Linked DNA regions of Drosophila melanogaster. The protein of the gene in region 1 interacts with the protein of each later gene in a pairwise test. Each region holds a gene or a part of one and is shown in the gene's direction. Other genes may lie near its edges.

Region 1 (8,106 bases):
TCCCTCTTTCACTTTTCCGACATATTCCGCAAAACTTTTCTCACATTTCACTCCAACTTTTCCCACACGCACAAGGAACTCGAACTGCAAGTTCTAATTGAATTTAGTTTTATTAGGGCACATGAAAGGAAAACACAGGGCCTGGAAAAATGGAAACATTGGGAGCGCTTTCAGTTTTCATTGGCTGCCAAAGGGTGAGGAAATCTGGTTTTCTTAAGGGCAAGGCAAATCCCATATTCTCAATCAAGGAAGGCAGGATTAATTAGATTGAACGAGAAGGGAACCTTAGAGCCTCTTTGTAAAGCCCAAAGTCACAAGAAAAACAGGCACCGAAGTTGGTAAGCCGATTTTGGACCAAAAACCAGCAAGTGAACAAAAGGCGGCGACCACAAAAAATTGATTTAAGCTGATTTTCGGGCCATTTGTGTTTTTCGTTTTCTGTTGTTTTTTTTTTTCTTCTAGAGACCAACAATATTGACCGACGACCACGCCCAGTTCGGGCGGCGTGAGGGGCGTGCGGCGCAATTAATATCAATTCCCGTTGGGCCATTAACACGAGCCAAAAACATATTGGCTAACAAGTGTCAAAGTCGCGCCAAATTAGCGCAGAAGGCGACGATGATGGCATGTGGGCGTGGTCGGGATTGGAATTGGAATTGGGAAGTTCAGTGGGCTGGGTCCAAGTGCTGGCAATGATATCCTGCCAAGGGAAGAGCAGCATGTGGCCAACCCTCCTTCGCGCTCGAACTGGCGTTCGTTGTTTGGGTCCTGCCCTCATTGATAATAATATTCGATTGGGTTTTATTTGCCCATGGGGTTGGCGCTGATGGTTTATTGTTGTCTGCACGGGGCCCAGGATACCCAGGATACACATGTTTCTGCCAATTGCCTACGTCATCCTGTCGGAATGGGTTGCGGGTTCTCGGGACTCACAGCTCGCAGCTCGCAACTCGAGTCGATAAACTGTGACGCAAGCCCTCGAAACATGGAAACAATAGTTGCGACCTGACAGTTGAAAAGGGCACCCCATGGGGTCACACATCAGAGATCTTGGACTTTAACAATCACCATCTGTGTACCAGAGTAGAGGTCTTCTGTGAATGGCACATTGACTCCCATCCGCCGATGAAAAGTGGAAACGTTTATCAGCTAAACGTCCAGCTCGTCTTAATTATGCAGCCGGCGAGGCGATTCTCAAACAATCAGAGACACCCGGCTGCCGATGACGTACCACAGAAAAAAGAACTCGAAATGCAGAAGCGATAAGGAAAGTACATCGGGACATTGCGAGGGTCGCCCTTGAAAAGCGGGGGAAAGTTACGCTTTTGGGGAAAAACTATTTTTAACGACTCGCATTTGTCAGCTGCAAATGGAAACGGGAATTTATTGCCAGGCAATCACGCTGATTTATGGTGATTTCAAAATGGTTTCACTAATTGGTTTGCGTTCTTTTCCAATGTTCGTGCTATAAAAATACAGATTTTGAGTTCGAGTACCGCAAATAGTTTTCTGTTAATTTTGGAAATAGGTTTCATGAATTATGGGGAATTTTCCTGTGCATCACATCTCTGATGTTATTCCGACATTTTGCATAAAACGTACAGTATTTTGGAAGTAGTGTGCAAGTGATTAATAAATAAATATCTTGAATTAATGTTTATATCAGCTCTGAAAACTTTACGTAAATATAAAATGTATGATTTTAGAAGTCAAAATAATCAGTGAACACGCATGGCAGTGAGTCATCACTATTGTGAATGCCCAATATATTTTTGTGTGAGCAATAGATGTTACTTCCGGATATCTTGGTAAATGCAAAAATAACAAGCTGACTTATGTCTACTAAGTCATTGATAAATTGTCAGAGGTTAACTAAAAAATAAACAAATTATTAATGATCCAACAATTCCACCGATTATCTCGATAACTTTTCATTTATTTACCAACCTGCCCTCTTTAGCGGGTCAAATGATGGACGGGAACAGCGAGACAATAAATAATGAGCTATAAATATTCATATAGTGCATTGTTGGGCTGATTGCTTGCATGTGTGCATCTGTGCATGGGTATTTATGCATTTAAAAAGCAAAGAAGGAGGACCTACTGATAAGCATTTCCCGATTGCTTTCACTTTTTAATCGATTGGCGTGGGGTGACAGGGATGGCGCGAGTCCTGCGGCATTAATGCAATTAATCGCCAGGAGAGACAAGGCCAACGTGTGTGTAATTTACAGTTACCGTTAAGTGCTTAAGTGCAAAGGAGGGGAACAGCCAGTGAGTTGTGACCACCGAGGAGCAGTAGAAAATAAGGTGATTTCAAGCTGATTAATGAGACTTACCTGTTTGTTTGATGTGCTATTTAAAGCTTCACTGTGAGTTTCGGCTGGTTGGAATTTTCGCAACAAATGTGTGGGTTCTGATAAGAAAGCGGGCGTTGATAAGACGCTTTTCCTTCTCTCTCTCTCTACCACTCCTTTCGCACACCACTGCAATTGCAGCATAAACAATTTGAAAGAACAAGAAGAAGCAGCGACACGCCTAGTGGGCAATTTTCCGGCCTTTTCGTTGGGAAATCTGCGTTTTTTTGGCTTTGCGCTCTTTTTTGACTTTGCCTTTTGGCTTTGCGCAAGAATACTCTTTGATTTTTTGTTTTTCTTTTCAATTTGACCGCATTTGTCGATTTTGGTTTTCTTTTCGGTTGTTGTTGCGGCTCTCACCAAAATTCACACACACAGGCGCGCTCTCACACATGCACAGATGGGCGGGCACACAGAACACACACACGCACACTACGACACACGCGGCGTTTCGTTGACGGAAAAGATACGAAAAATACGGCGTGAAATTCCCAGCTTTTTTCGAAAAGGCTCGCAAAACAAGGGCTCGACGCTCTTGCGGTTTTCCGGTTGGAGGAGTGGCTTTTCTAAGACGACACACGACGACGTTCGCAACTGGGCTTTCTGCAAGTGCCCAAAATTAACGATGGATCCGCGAATTGCCTGCTCGAAAAATATTGGAGTCTTCTGTAAGACCGTCGTTGAGTTAGTGAAAGACGTCTTCGACTCGCGGTAAAAAACTCTAAACGCGTAAAAAGACGGACTAATTTTGGCGGACTGTGTAGTGCTGATGCCTCAGCTATTTTCTAGCTAGCTTGAATTACTTAGATCTGGCGATTTGGACATCGTCGCGTCATTCTGTTGGTCGTTTTAGGACCTTTCAGAACATACCGTCTTAATTCTTCGTTTCTGAAAAGGAATTTAAATGCTGTTTCTTGCATGCTGTAACTAACATTGCTAAGAGTTGGCAGCACTGCAAATTTGACATTATCGGGGACACAAGCTAATAGTTCATTTTCTGGGAACCCTTCTAAATATCTTATTGGAAACGAAATTAATTTTTTTAAAATACGCTGTATTAATATTTACTACATTATTCCTAAGACATAATCCGTGTAATAGTTTGTCTATATAATTCATTTGTTGTTACCCTTGCCAGGTGGCAACGCCGAACGCACACATGTTGCACACTCTACTTTGTTTTAAATGGGCATTCTAGTTTTGAGATAACTGAATTAAACAATACAAATAGTTGAGGCGCTCTAAGTCTAACTTCCAAGTCTCAAGAAACGTACAGGGCTTTTATTGTAAGATTTTGACCACTAATTATTTCTTAAATAACCATGAAAATACAGCGTACAGAACTGTCGCCTCAGCCGGAATCACCCGGCACTTTTAGGTAATGGCCATGATTTTCACACGGAAATCGCTGAAGCTGCTCAACTATCGCCTCAAATGCCTAAGTTTGTCCTGCCCAGGAGGAAGGAGAGGAATCCAAAGCAGTTCCAACGGAGAAGCGCCCTCCGTGGAAGTCAACTTCAGCAATGGGTGAGTTCGTGGCCTCCACTCCGAGTTCCAATAGCAAAGTCTTGAATCCTCCGCAGACGTAACATGACCTTCAGTTCCGGCCGCCTGGCGAGATTTGCGAATGGAACAGCTGTGTGCCAAATGGGCGATACCGCCGTCATGGTCACCGCGGTGGCCAAGGCGAAGCCAAATCCCGGCCAGGGATTCATGCCTCTGGTGGTTGACTACCGACTGAAAAACGCCGCCTCTGGCAGAATACCCATGAACTTTATGCGCCGCGAACTGGGCCCCTCGGAAAAAGAGATCCTGTCCGCCCGCCTTATCGACCGTTCGCTACGCCCGCTCTTCCACAAAGATTATCGCACGGAGACACAGCTGGTGTGCAACATGTTGGCTATGGACGCGGTGCACAGTCCGGATGTGCTTGCAATCAATGCCGCTTCCATGGCGCTATCTCTAAGTGACATTCCCTGGAATGGACCCATTGGAGCTGTGCGGTGAGTACTCACGAACGAATCTAACTGGTAACCGCTTATAACTCTTTTAATCCTACAAAGCGTTGGCCTCTGCGACGGCGAGGTGCTGATCAACCCCACGCGCCGGGAGCTGCAGACTTCGCAACTGGATTTGGTAGTCTCCGCCACCAAACAAAACCTCGTCGTTATGTTGGAGGGCAAGGGGAATGTGGTTCTTCAGCAGGACCTTCTAAAGGCTATCAAACAAGGGACTCGTGAGGCCCAATTCATTATCCACGAGATCGAGCGACTGCAGAAGGCCTATGGTCGACAGAAGCGCGAAGTGGAAGTGGCTGCCGAAGTAGATCCCGAACTGGGGAAAGCCGTTCGTAGCATGTGCGAAATGCGGCTGAGAGAGATCTTCCAGGATTCGACGCACGACAAGATGTCTCGTGACAATGCGGTTAACGAGGTGCGCTCCAACGTTATTGACAAGGTGTGGAGTTCGTTTCCGGATACCGAACCGTCGCTTATTACCGAGCAGTTCAACCAGACCAGTAGAACCATTTTTCGCGAACTGATCTTTGAGCGGGGTCTGCGTTGCGATGGACGAGATTACGACCAGCTGAGGAACATCTCCTGCCAGGTGGACATGTACAAGCCTCTCCACGGATCCGCCCTATTCCAGCGCGGTCAGACGCAGGTCTTCTGCACGGTTAGCTTGGACTCGCAGGAAAGCGCAATGAAACTTGACTCGTTGGCTGCTTTAGATAGCGGTGGCCTGAAGGCCAAGAACTTTATGCTGCACTATGAGTTCCCGCCCTATGCCACGGGTGAAGTGGGTCGGATTGGTCCAGTGGGTCGCCGGGAAATGGGCCACGGAGCCTTGGCGGAGAGATCGTTGCTTCCCACCCTGCCGAATGATTATCCCTTTACCGTAAGACTCACCTCTGAAGTCCTGGAATCCAATGGGAGCAGTAGCATGGCCAGCGTTTGCGGTGGCTCCTTGGCCCTTATGGACGCCGGCGTTCCAGTGAGCGCACCTGCGGCAGGTGTGGCCATTGGCCTGGTCACAAAGTTCGAGAACGACGACACTAAGCACCTGCAGGACTACCGCATTCTCACCGACATCCTGGGCATCGAAGATTACATGGGCGACATGGACATGAAGGTGGCTGGCACGAGAAAAGGCTTCACCGCCATCCAGGCGGACCTCAAGATCCCGGGAATTCCTCTTAAGGTTGTGATGGAATCGCTACAAAAGGCCACCGATGCCAAATCTAATATTCTGGACATCATGAGTGAGGCTATTAGGGAACCTCGGTGAGTACACGTCACTTAAGGGAACTACATGGTTTTAAATGCTAATTTTATAATACTCTCGCAATCGTTTAGAAAATACCCCAAGGAGAGCTGGCCAGTGAGTGAAACCCTAACTGTAGAGCCGCAACAGAGGGCGCAGTTAATTGGTCCCAGCGGCCTTCACATGAAGCGGATTTACTTGGAAACGGGCACCTCCCTAACAGCAGTCGATGAGACCCATTTCAATGTTTTTGCTCCTTCGCAAGCAGCCATGGATGAGGCCAAGGAGCTGATCGAGGGCTACATGGTGAAGGAACGAGTGCCGGACCTGGAGTTCGGCGGAATCTACACTGCCAAAATCACCGAATTGCGAGACACCGGAGTAATGGTCATCCTCTATCCCAGTATGCCACCCGCTTTGCTGCACAACTCGCAGCTGGATCAGCGCAAGATAGCCCATCCCTCTGCCCTAAACCTGGAAGTGGGTCAGGAGATCCAGGTCAAGTACTTTGGCCGCGATCCCGTCTCCGGCTTTATGCGTCTTTCGCGAAAGGTTCTCCAAGGGCCCGCCCTGGGAATCCCCCGTTCGCTCAACAAATCTGCCGGAGAGAGCGGAACGTGAGTTCCAAGATGCAAATTAACTTGTACAGTGAGCTTTCCTTATGTTTCGTCTGCGAAAAGACGCCTTCAAAACTTGAAATTTTATTGTAGGCTAAAAAATGTTGTCCTTAAAAGTTGTACGTATATAAAATATTGGATGAAGATTCACCTATTTGACCGTCAGCTGTATAAATAAATTGTTATTGCTCGATTCAACCCCGAGATGCTATTTATAAAACAATTTTTAAGAATTTTCTCTGAAAATATTAGCCTCTACTTAACTTTAATTTCGAAGTGCAAGAAAGTTCGGATACTTAATCTTGTTTAAACATAATTATACAAATTCAAAAAGAATCATTTTAGTTTCCAACTATTCTTTTGACTTAGGAGCGAACAGCTTTAGTATGGATTTAACTTTAAACCAAGTTATAATAAAATATGTGTTTATGAATGAGAGCTTCCACTAGAAAGGCATTCAATAAATTGGCAGAATAGAAATAAGTTCTCAACCATTTGAAATGGATACAGAAACATACAATCTCATCAATTTTGATTCGCACAAACAAACAAAAGTGTTAATGGCACGGAGGGCAGCCAGTTAAGTAGAATTTCGGCGAAAATAATTTGTGACACTTTCGAGCTTACACTACTGGCTGGTCTACTAAGTAGTTCAGCCGATTCTATGCATTTGATGTTGGCTAGATGATGACGCGGTAGTAGGAATCGGATATGCTGTACAAGGCCACAATGGGAGTCTTGGCATCGCTCAGATAGTCGACAACCTCTTCGTTTATCTCGGAGATGTAGCGCTTGTATTTCGAAAATCTGTATGAATTGATGAAGTTGCAGTTGAAAGCAGACCAAATAGAATTGATTTGTTAACTTACCGCTCGATCACATAGTTGATTTCCGGTTCAGTCTCTCGCTTGCGTATTTCCCGTGGATTAATGGCCCCCACAATGGCATTTACAACAGCAGGCGGCAACTCCACCACCAGGACCACAAAGGTCTCCTTCTTGAGGAACTGCGATAGCGTTGAGCTCATCTGCTGCGCCACCTGGTTCTCTAGCCGCCTTTTGTAGTTCGCCGTTGGCTTGTCGTGGGTGAGAAACGTCACCTGAAGATTCGGCAACTGGCTATAGTTGTTCTTGATGGTGGCATTCGATGCGGAGGTGCTCAGACCATTCTCGCCGCGTTCTCTTTCCTTTCCACCACTGCTTCTGTTGTCACCACTACCCAAGGCTGACAACTGGCTGAAGTTGTCCACGGTGGTCCCATTGAGTCCATCACTTCGCAGCATCTTCTGGATGAACTCCACCAGTTCGGTTCTTGTTAGGTGACGCTCCTGGAATCGTTCCCTCTCGAAAGATCTCACTCTCAATGAGCCATTTTCCGCCACCAGGATGACATGTAACGCCCCAAGGCGGGCAAGATCCTGTGCTTCATCTCCCAATTCGCTGGCGGCCTCCACAATTCCACATCGGATGCCAACCGACCACAGCAGACGCATGATATAGGTCACATCCTTTAGCGGTGGACGGGTTCCACACACGCAAATGCCCACATCTATCGCCCGACAATCCTTAGCGTATTCCACACCAACAGCAGCTACCAGCTTGTCTAGGGAGAACGTCAAGCCCGCTCCACTAAGAACTCCACGTGCTGGCATGGCGGGATTAAACTTCTGCGCCTGCTTCTGGAATTCATGCAGCATAGAGTCGTATCTCTCCCCAATCGCCAGAACCGAAGGATGGCCAGAGCGATTGGGCTTCAGGTCAGCGGTCATCTGCCACACAATTCCACCGTTGCTGGCACGATCGAAGCTGATGGGCAAGCCAGCCCATATGTGTATAGGACACTGAAAGGGAATGGGAACCGGTTAGACA
Region 2 (6,977 bases), 6.5 Mb from region 1:
AGATCACGGAGGCGGTGGGAGTACAGTTGAGTTTCCTCGACTGGAAGGCGATGCTGTGCAGCAATGAGGATGCGTAGCGTGTGTGAGTGCCCTTCGTGTTGTCCTGCAGCCAAGGTTGAAGTCCCTTGAAGGAGCTATTGGTACAGACACCTCAAGTAACTCAAACTATAGTATGAACACAGCCTTACTCACCGCACAGTTCCACTAGCCAGTGCAATACTTATGACAAGGACATAGGTCACTGCAATGGCTGCGTTGAAGGGAACCTTGACCACCAAAAGGAACGCGATCGTGAGCTGTTCCGCCAGCACAAAACTGGACCACAGGGCCACTAGCAAGTAGGCGAAGACAGTACCATTGTTGTACTTCACATCCAATAGCAGACTGAAAGAAATAGATATATAGTTTCGAGTCCCGATACCCAGAGAGATGAAACTTACGGATATACAACACAACTGGCTATGACGGCAGATACGGCGGAAAATGGTATAGACACGGAGTTGTAGGCAATCAGTAGAGTTGTGCCCGAATAGAGACCCTCTGGAGTATCCTGCGAGAACTTCTTGCGCCAAATCGGAACTATGGTAAAATATGCTTAGACAGCTTAACATTGAAGGGAAAATCGAAACTTACATAAAGATATGGTAGTCAAAATTCCACAACCGTACGACAGCCCCAAAATATTAAGGATCATGCCGTTTTTTGTAAAGAATCCATGTGAATCGTCCTAGAAAATTATATTAAAAAATGCTTAAAATGTATAAAAAATTAAGTTTCTTACCCCGACATCTGTGTAAAATGCCCATAGGATGCTTAAAGCCAATGGAAGAAGCAAAAGGCGCAGAAATAGTGTCTTCATACCAACGAGTCCACAGGAGAAGGTTGATGCTAATAGTTTCCTAAAAACGAAGTCAAGAATTTTATCATATTTGAAAAAAAAGAAGTAAGTTTAACTTACAGATACAGCATAACCCAAACTTTGAGCTCTCCAGGCTTTCCATAGGCCAGAGGCACTTTCCCAGAACCCATGTTGTTTAGAGGGGCATCCGAGATCGGTGTTTCCCGAGAGAAACGTTCCACCAGCGCCTCGATCTGCTGGCTAGACTCCAGGAATCGATCCCGACTGCGACGATCCACAGTGGACAGGCAGAGATAGTACATCAAGGGATTCTCGAGCTGTGGACAAGGGAATCCGATGCCATGAAAGTACTCCAGCATGGCACGAGTGCCTCCTGAATAGACCACTCCGCCCAGGCAGAGGAATAGGGCTCTATCCAGGAATGGGAACACATCGGAGCGAGGTTTCTCCAGCGACAGAAGAATTCCACAGCCCGTCTTCTTGGCCGTGTTGGACAAAATGGATATCAGCAGATAGGCACTCAAGGGATCGAGGCCATGGGTCGGCTCATCCAGCAATAGCATGACTAAAATAACATTTTTGTTATTTAAGGAATCTTTGTGATATATTCATCATTTTACCAGGATCTCTGACCAACTGTATTCCAATAGCCAGACGCCGTGCCTCACTGATATTAAGATACTCCACTCTCTTATGCGCCACTTGGGAAAGGGCCAAATCCGCCAGCACTTGGCGCACTTTGGAACTCTTCAGATAGCCACTCAACTAAGAAGGGTTTGGGTATTAACACAGTCAGTTATTACTTAAAATCTCTTCATATTCATTATTTTATACAAATACTCACTATAGTGGGGGTATAGTGTAGTGTTTGGGCCACCGTTAGACCAGGAACAAAGGTGCAGGATTGGGTGACATAGCCACATCTCTGTTGGAACAATGCCTTGGAGAGCGGAGATCCATTGAGTAGCACCTGACCACGAGTTGCTCCATCGGCACGTCTAGAAATAACATCTAAAAGAGCTCTCTTGCCGCTACCTAAAGTTGGTAAAATGATTATTATTATTTTGTTTTAACAAAATGTAAATTAAAAATATACCCTTCGAGCCCAGAATGGCCATAACCTCGCCGCTGTGCACGGTTAGATTGACGCCTTTGAGCACCAGGGCCGAATTGCCGGCTCCATTGAAACAGCCACCACCATCCACCTGTTGTTCAGGCCAAAAAGAAAACAATAAAGGTTTAATAGCAGGGGGTTTTCACGAGTCTAAAGAGAACGTACCTCGGTGGTGTGGAAAATGTTGTGGGCTTCCAGTACGTAGTCGCTGCCGATCATTTTCATAGCCACCGCTGGGAGAGCCGCTTTTGTTTGTTTATACTTCTCGTGCTCTTTGGGCCGAAAACACTCTGTTCGTAACTCAAGAGTGGTTTGTTAGGAGCTGATTTTCAGTTCCAGGGAGGGAAGAGAGAATATCAAGAGTGTAAAAGTGAGATTGAGATGTAGAGATACTTGATTATAAATTGGTATTTGGCTAAAACTGAAAACTAAAATTTTACACAATAAACAATTAGGAAAAATCCAACACATATTTTTTCAAAAAACTTTAATACATATTTTATATGATATTTTAGATGCTTTATTAAAATATTCTTCGGTAGTCACTTACCTCCGCGAACACGTCCTCACCAACTGAGCGCTCTGTTCCAACTGAACTGAAACTGTTGCTTGCCATTCCAATTGGCATGGCTTGAACCGCTCCGCTCCGCCTGGAAAGCGGCTCTCTCCGGCCAACTCGCTTCCAGGCGAAGCAAGCGGGCTAAGATGGCGGCCGAGGCCAAGTTCAGATCAGTTCGCTGCGAGCCGAGCTCCGAGAGAGTTGCCTCCACCGATCCGCGGTTCGCGTCGATTCGATTTTTTTCTGGCGGCCCCCTAACACACAGTTCCCAGAAGAAAATTACAAAAAAAAAATATGAAAACACATAAAACGCATTTGGAAATCTAATTGAAATATTCACGGCTTAACGGGCTATAATATACACACATATATCTGTGCAAAGGCGAATATTTTTTAATGACCACCGGGAAGTGCATGCAAATGTGGTTATTTGTTGACTCGCGGAATATCCAATAGATACAAAAAAAAAAAAAAAATAAAAAAAGGAAAAAGTGGCCAATATCCAAGTGACGTGAGTGTGTGTGTGAGCAGTGTCTATATGGTCTATATAAAATATGCAGACATCGGTGTAGCCAGCAGATCGACATTGTAATGTAAGTGTTTTGCCCAAGTTATGAATGAGTGTCACCGAGCGGCTAATTAGAGTCCAACTGGCCAACTGGTATTTACTGTTAATTGTATTAGGCCAACGGCAGCACTTGCCACCTCGAACCAAATGAAACCGACGAGTATCCACCACGGTCCACGTTCCATTCCTTTGGGTATAATACTAATACCTTCTGGTTCTTCTGTTTTTTTGTACTCCCCCCCTCTTCTGTTCTTCTGTTCTGTTCTGTTCTGCTCGCGCGGTCGTCACCATCGCAGGTCAAAGATCCCGCGAGCGGGTTTTGTCTAGCAAATGTATCTTAGCCCACACTCCATCCACCACTGCCACTGCTGGCACTTCTTTGCCGCTCTCCCTGCGCTCAGCGCCCTGCAGAGCCCAAGCGATCCAAAGTGGAAGTCCAACTCGATGCCAAAACCAGAACCCAAGTGCCAGCCAAAGCCGGAGTCGCTCAAACAGCCAAGTGCCTGCTGCTCAACTCAACTCCACTCGGCTCGGTTTGTCTTGTCTTTTATTTTCTCTGCAGCTCACTGCTCCGCTGCACAGGAAAAAAAGCGAGATAATAAATCTAATATACAAGCAATATATCATATTTTAAATATTTATGTTTTGTTTCATCAAATGGCTTCATTTCATGTTTCAGCTAATGGCTATAGCATTAGTATAGTGTAAAAAGATATATCCTTGTTGCAAATTGAATAAAACAAATTTATTTAATTATTTAGTAAACTGTTTCATTCAAAATATTTGATATTTTGTTTTTTAATAGTTCAAATTATATTTCCAACATTTTTATATCACATATCATTATGTAGTATTTCTCGCTGTGTGCCAGTGTGTATCTCACAGATACAAGTTTCAGTTTGTTTGTTTGTTTGGCCGGCTGTCTTTGCCTTTGCCATTGCCTCTTTGCGGAGCTGGGTTCTTAGCTCTCCGGGGATCGCTGGTTGTTTGCTCTACCCGCAGATGCTAGCATCGTCTTGGTCTGGTCATTTCCTCGTAAAAACTGCCTTAAACTTACGATCGAGCACTATAGCCATTATTTGTTTTTATGTTTATACTTTAAGCACATAAATAACTTTTTATGCGCCTTAGAATAGTTTGCATAGCTTATGGGTTCTTTTTTTTTGCAATAACGCAAAAGACTTTGACTTTATATAACCATTCAATTTAATCTACTCATTTCTGTAATAAATGATTGCAATATATGTTTAAAGAAGAATAAAGTTTGTCACGTATTTCGATGACCCGGAGAGCGATGGATTTAATTTCGAACAAGATGTGAAAGCCATAACAGGTCTGAAAGACATTTTTCGCTGGGTAGAGGCAAATACTTTATTCCGGCGTGTACTCTTCCTATATCGGCTCATAAAGAATAACCACGCGGCTAAGCAACTTTCACATTCATTTTGCAATTTCGATGCAGCTGCCAATCTGCGCTCACAATCACTTTCAAAATTTCGTGCCGCGGAACTTGATTTCTCATCGAAAATGAGCTGCGGGCTAATGGAGATTTTGGCGATTGAGATAATTTGGGGCTTTAGCACCATTCTCAGGGCCCCCCCAACTGCAGATTATTGTCAAGCTAATGCCTTTGGCCCTTCGCAATGCAAATTCCCAGCCTCCGTTTCGGGTCCATTTCACTGAATCTCGCACCTAATTAGCCATGTCATGTTGGCCGGACCGTTAGAATGCTGTTAAAGCCATGGCCAAGCTCATTGAAAAAGTTCCAAAATGTATTTTGCTTCTTCGAGCTGACTTGCTGGATTGTTTTTCTAGATTTTCCCATTGTCGTCGCTTTTTGCCGCCGTTTTTTGTGGCGTAAATTAGTTAACAGTATTATTATGACCGCTAACGGGGCTCCCTGATTTGTGGCTGCTGTTCAGGCCCCCCGCAAAAAAGATATCAAGCCATTCCGGGGCAGAGAGAAAAAAAAGCGTTTAGAAGCGGACCGACAGGCAGCGATCGTAATTCAATTTCGACAATTTCAATTCCAGTCCAGAAGAAAACAAATACAGAAACTGAGAAAAAAAAAGGAAAACAAATCAAAAGACTTAAGACAGCAACGCGGAGTCTAGACAAAAAGACCAAGGCGCGGCAAAGAGCCAGCTTAAGTTGAATTGATTGTCAGTTATGGCTTTGTGGTGAGTTCGGATCCGGAGTGGGGTGCTGGTGGTATCTAGCATTGGGTATATGGGATCTGGTCTTTGTCTTGGGTCTAGGCTGGTTTTCTGATCGGTTCTTTATAGGTGTGGCTGCATCTAGTTGGCCAAAACTTGTTCTTGTTCTCTCGGCCTGAGTCCTCCATATGTGTATGTGTTCAATTTCAATTGAACTTAGTCGCTGGTTATTCCGATGGATGGATGGATGAATCATTGCATTTAATGATAGCGGACTCTGGATGAAGTCAGCGGCGGGCCATTGGAATGACGATGATGATGATGATGATGATGAGACGGAGACCCTTGGTCGCTGGCAAAGTGAAAACTCAACGAGCAGGAAATGCAAATTCGAAATTTCCCACTTGCATAGGCAATCTCTCCAGCTGCGGGGCCATTAAAAGTTGCGACCATGAAAATTGTGGGCATTGATAGATACGGTACGGGGCCACAGTGAGTTAATTTACTTTTTATTGTAATTAAATTAACACAGCATAGCTGAAGACGTAAACGAAGAAGAAGCCGCAGAAGCAGAACAGCTGCATAATTAGGCGAAGAAAGTACATTTCAGGCTACACACACTTCGTGACTTTTACGGCCGTAAAAAGAGAACTCCAATTCATTTCGCTCCAAGTTCACAGGCACGGTTCAGACATGCCGCTGACATAGAATCAGAATAGTGGCGGAGTCGGAGTCGCAGATGAGACCTTATTTGATTGGACGTGAGCCGAATAAATTGCTCTTAAAAACCATGTCACATATTTACTTGGCCCCCACATTTTGCACTGGGAAAAATAACTGACACCTAACATTGCTCATTCCCCCCAAGAAGGCTAGTCGTGTAGATTTTGTTTGTATTTCAAACAGCGAAATTAAATGGAATTCTACCAATTTGATGTTGATTTCTGCGCAACTCGAAGATGAGAAATGTTCAATAATAATAAAGTGTGATTATTAAGAAATCTCTTACCACAAAATAGTACACTCTTCGACCAAGCTAAGACATTTTCGTTGAGTGTGGAATTGGCGCCCATAAGACCCAGTTGCTGTGTGTCTTTGGGTCTGTGGGTGTGTTCGGGAATTTGGCCAAATAAGCCCGTCTGTCGCATTTTTATGCATGCAATGGCAACGCAGGGAAAAATTGCCATTTTTCTGTTTTCGTTCGGTTTGCCATGGAATTTATGTCAATTAGCCTGGTGGCACCACACGTGTTTCCGTGGAGGCGGAGGAGTAAATGGGAAGCGGCGGGATCGGCATTGGCATGCAAATTTTTACCCACAATTGTTGGCCACTTTCACAAGTCTTTCGCAATACAGGAAAGTGTTTTGTTTCGACTCGGTTTTAAGTCGTGTTGGGGGGGGAGAGATTTGTTTTGGTTTTCAGCTCGGCGTTAATTGCCTGTAAAGATGCCCGAAACTGTGGCAAAGTTTCGTATTCCGTTTGGGCAATTAATAAAACTGACCTTGCCTGAGTTTTCTAACCGCAAAACTGAAAACTGAACGCTCAACGCTGAAGCGCTGGAAACTGAAAGCCGATCCGAACCGCTGAAATACGCTGAATTGAGACCACCACTGTGGTATTGCCGGTGGTTTCGGTGGTGGGGGCTATGCAGCCATGACGAATATTCGTTGACGGCATGACATTAGCATTAGACTTTTTGGGGTCACAGTCAGCGGAATTCT

The links. Proteins that work in one complex are often made in the same cells at the same time.
Region 2: the proteins of PNPase (region 1) and CG31121 interact in a two-hybrid assay, tested with the Drosophila melanogaster proteins (one large-scale study listed by BioGRID).

Annotation. Positions count from the first base shown.
Region 1 is NT_033777.3:31,400,190-31,408,295, reverse strand, and holds PNPase (polynucleotide phosphorylase), read left to right. Parts: upstream 1-2,843; 5' UTR 2,844-3,025; exon of another isoform or gene 3,026-3,051; intron 3,052-3,555; exon of another isoform or gene 3,556-3,643; intron 3,644-3,691; 5' UTR 3,692-3,738; coding exon 3,739-3,884; intron 3,885-3,940; coding exon 3,941-4,360; intron 4,361-4,420; coding exon 4,421-5,641; intron 5,642-5,713; coding exon 5,714-6,242; 3' UTR 6,243-6,459; downstream 6,460-8,106. Other genes in the region: Gcn2, read right to left, coding at 6,919-7,045, 7,108-8,078.
Region 2 is NT_033777.3:24,890,333-24,897,309, reverse strand, and holds the start of CG31121 (uncharacterized protein), read left to right. Parts: upstream 1-2,704; 5' UTR 2,705-3,125; intron 3,126-5,474; exon of another isoform or gene 5,475-5,735; intron 5,736-6,977. Other genes in the region: CG11069 (uncharacterized protein), read right to left, coding at 1-134, 193-384, 441-579, 634-727, 782-899, 959-1,424, 1,480-1,624, 1,704-1,894 and 2 more.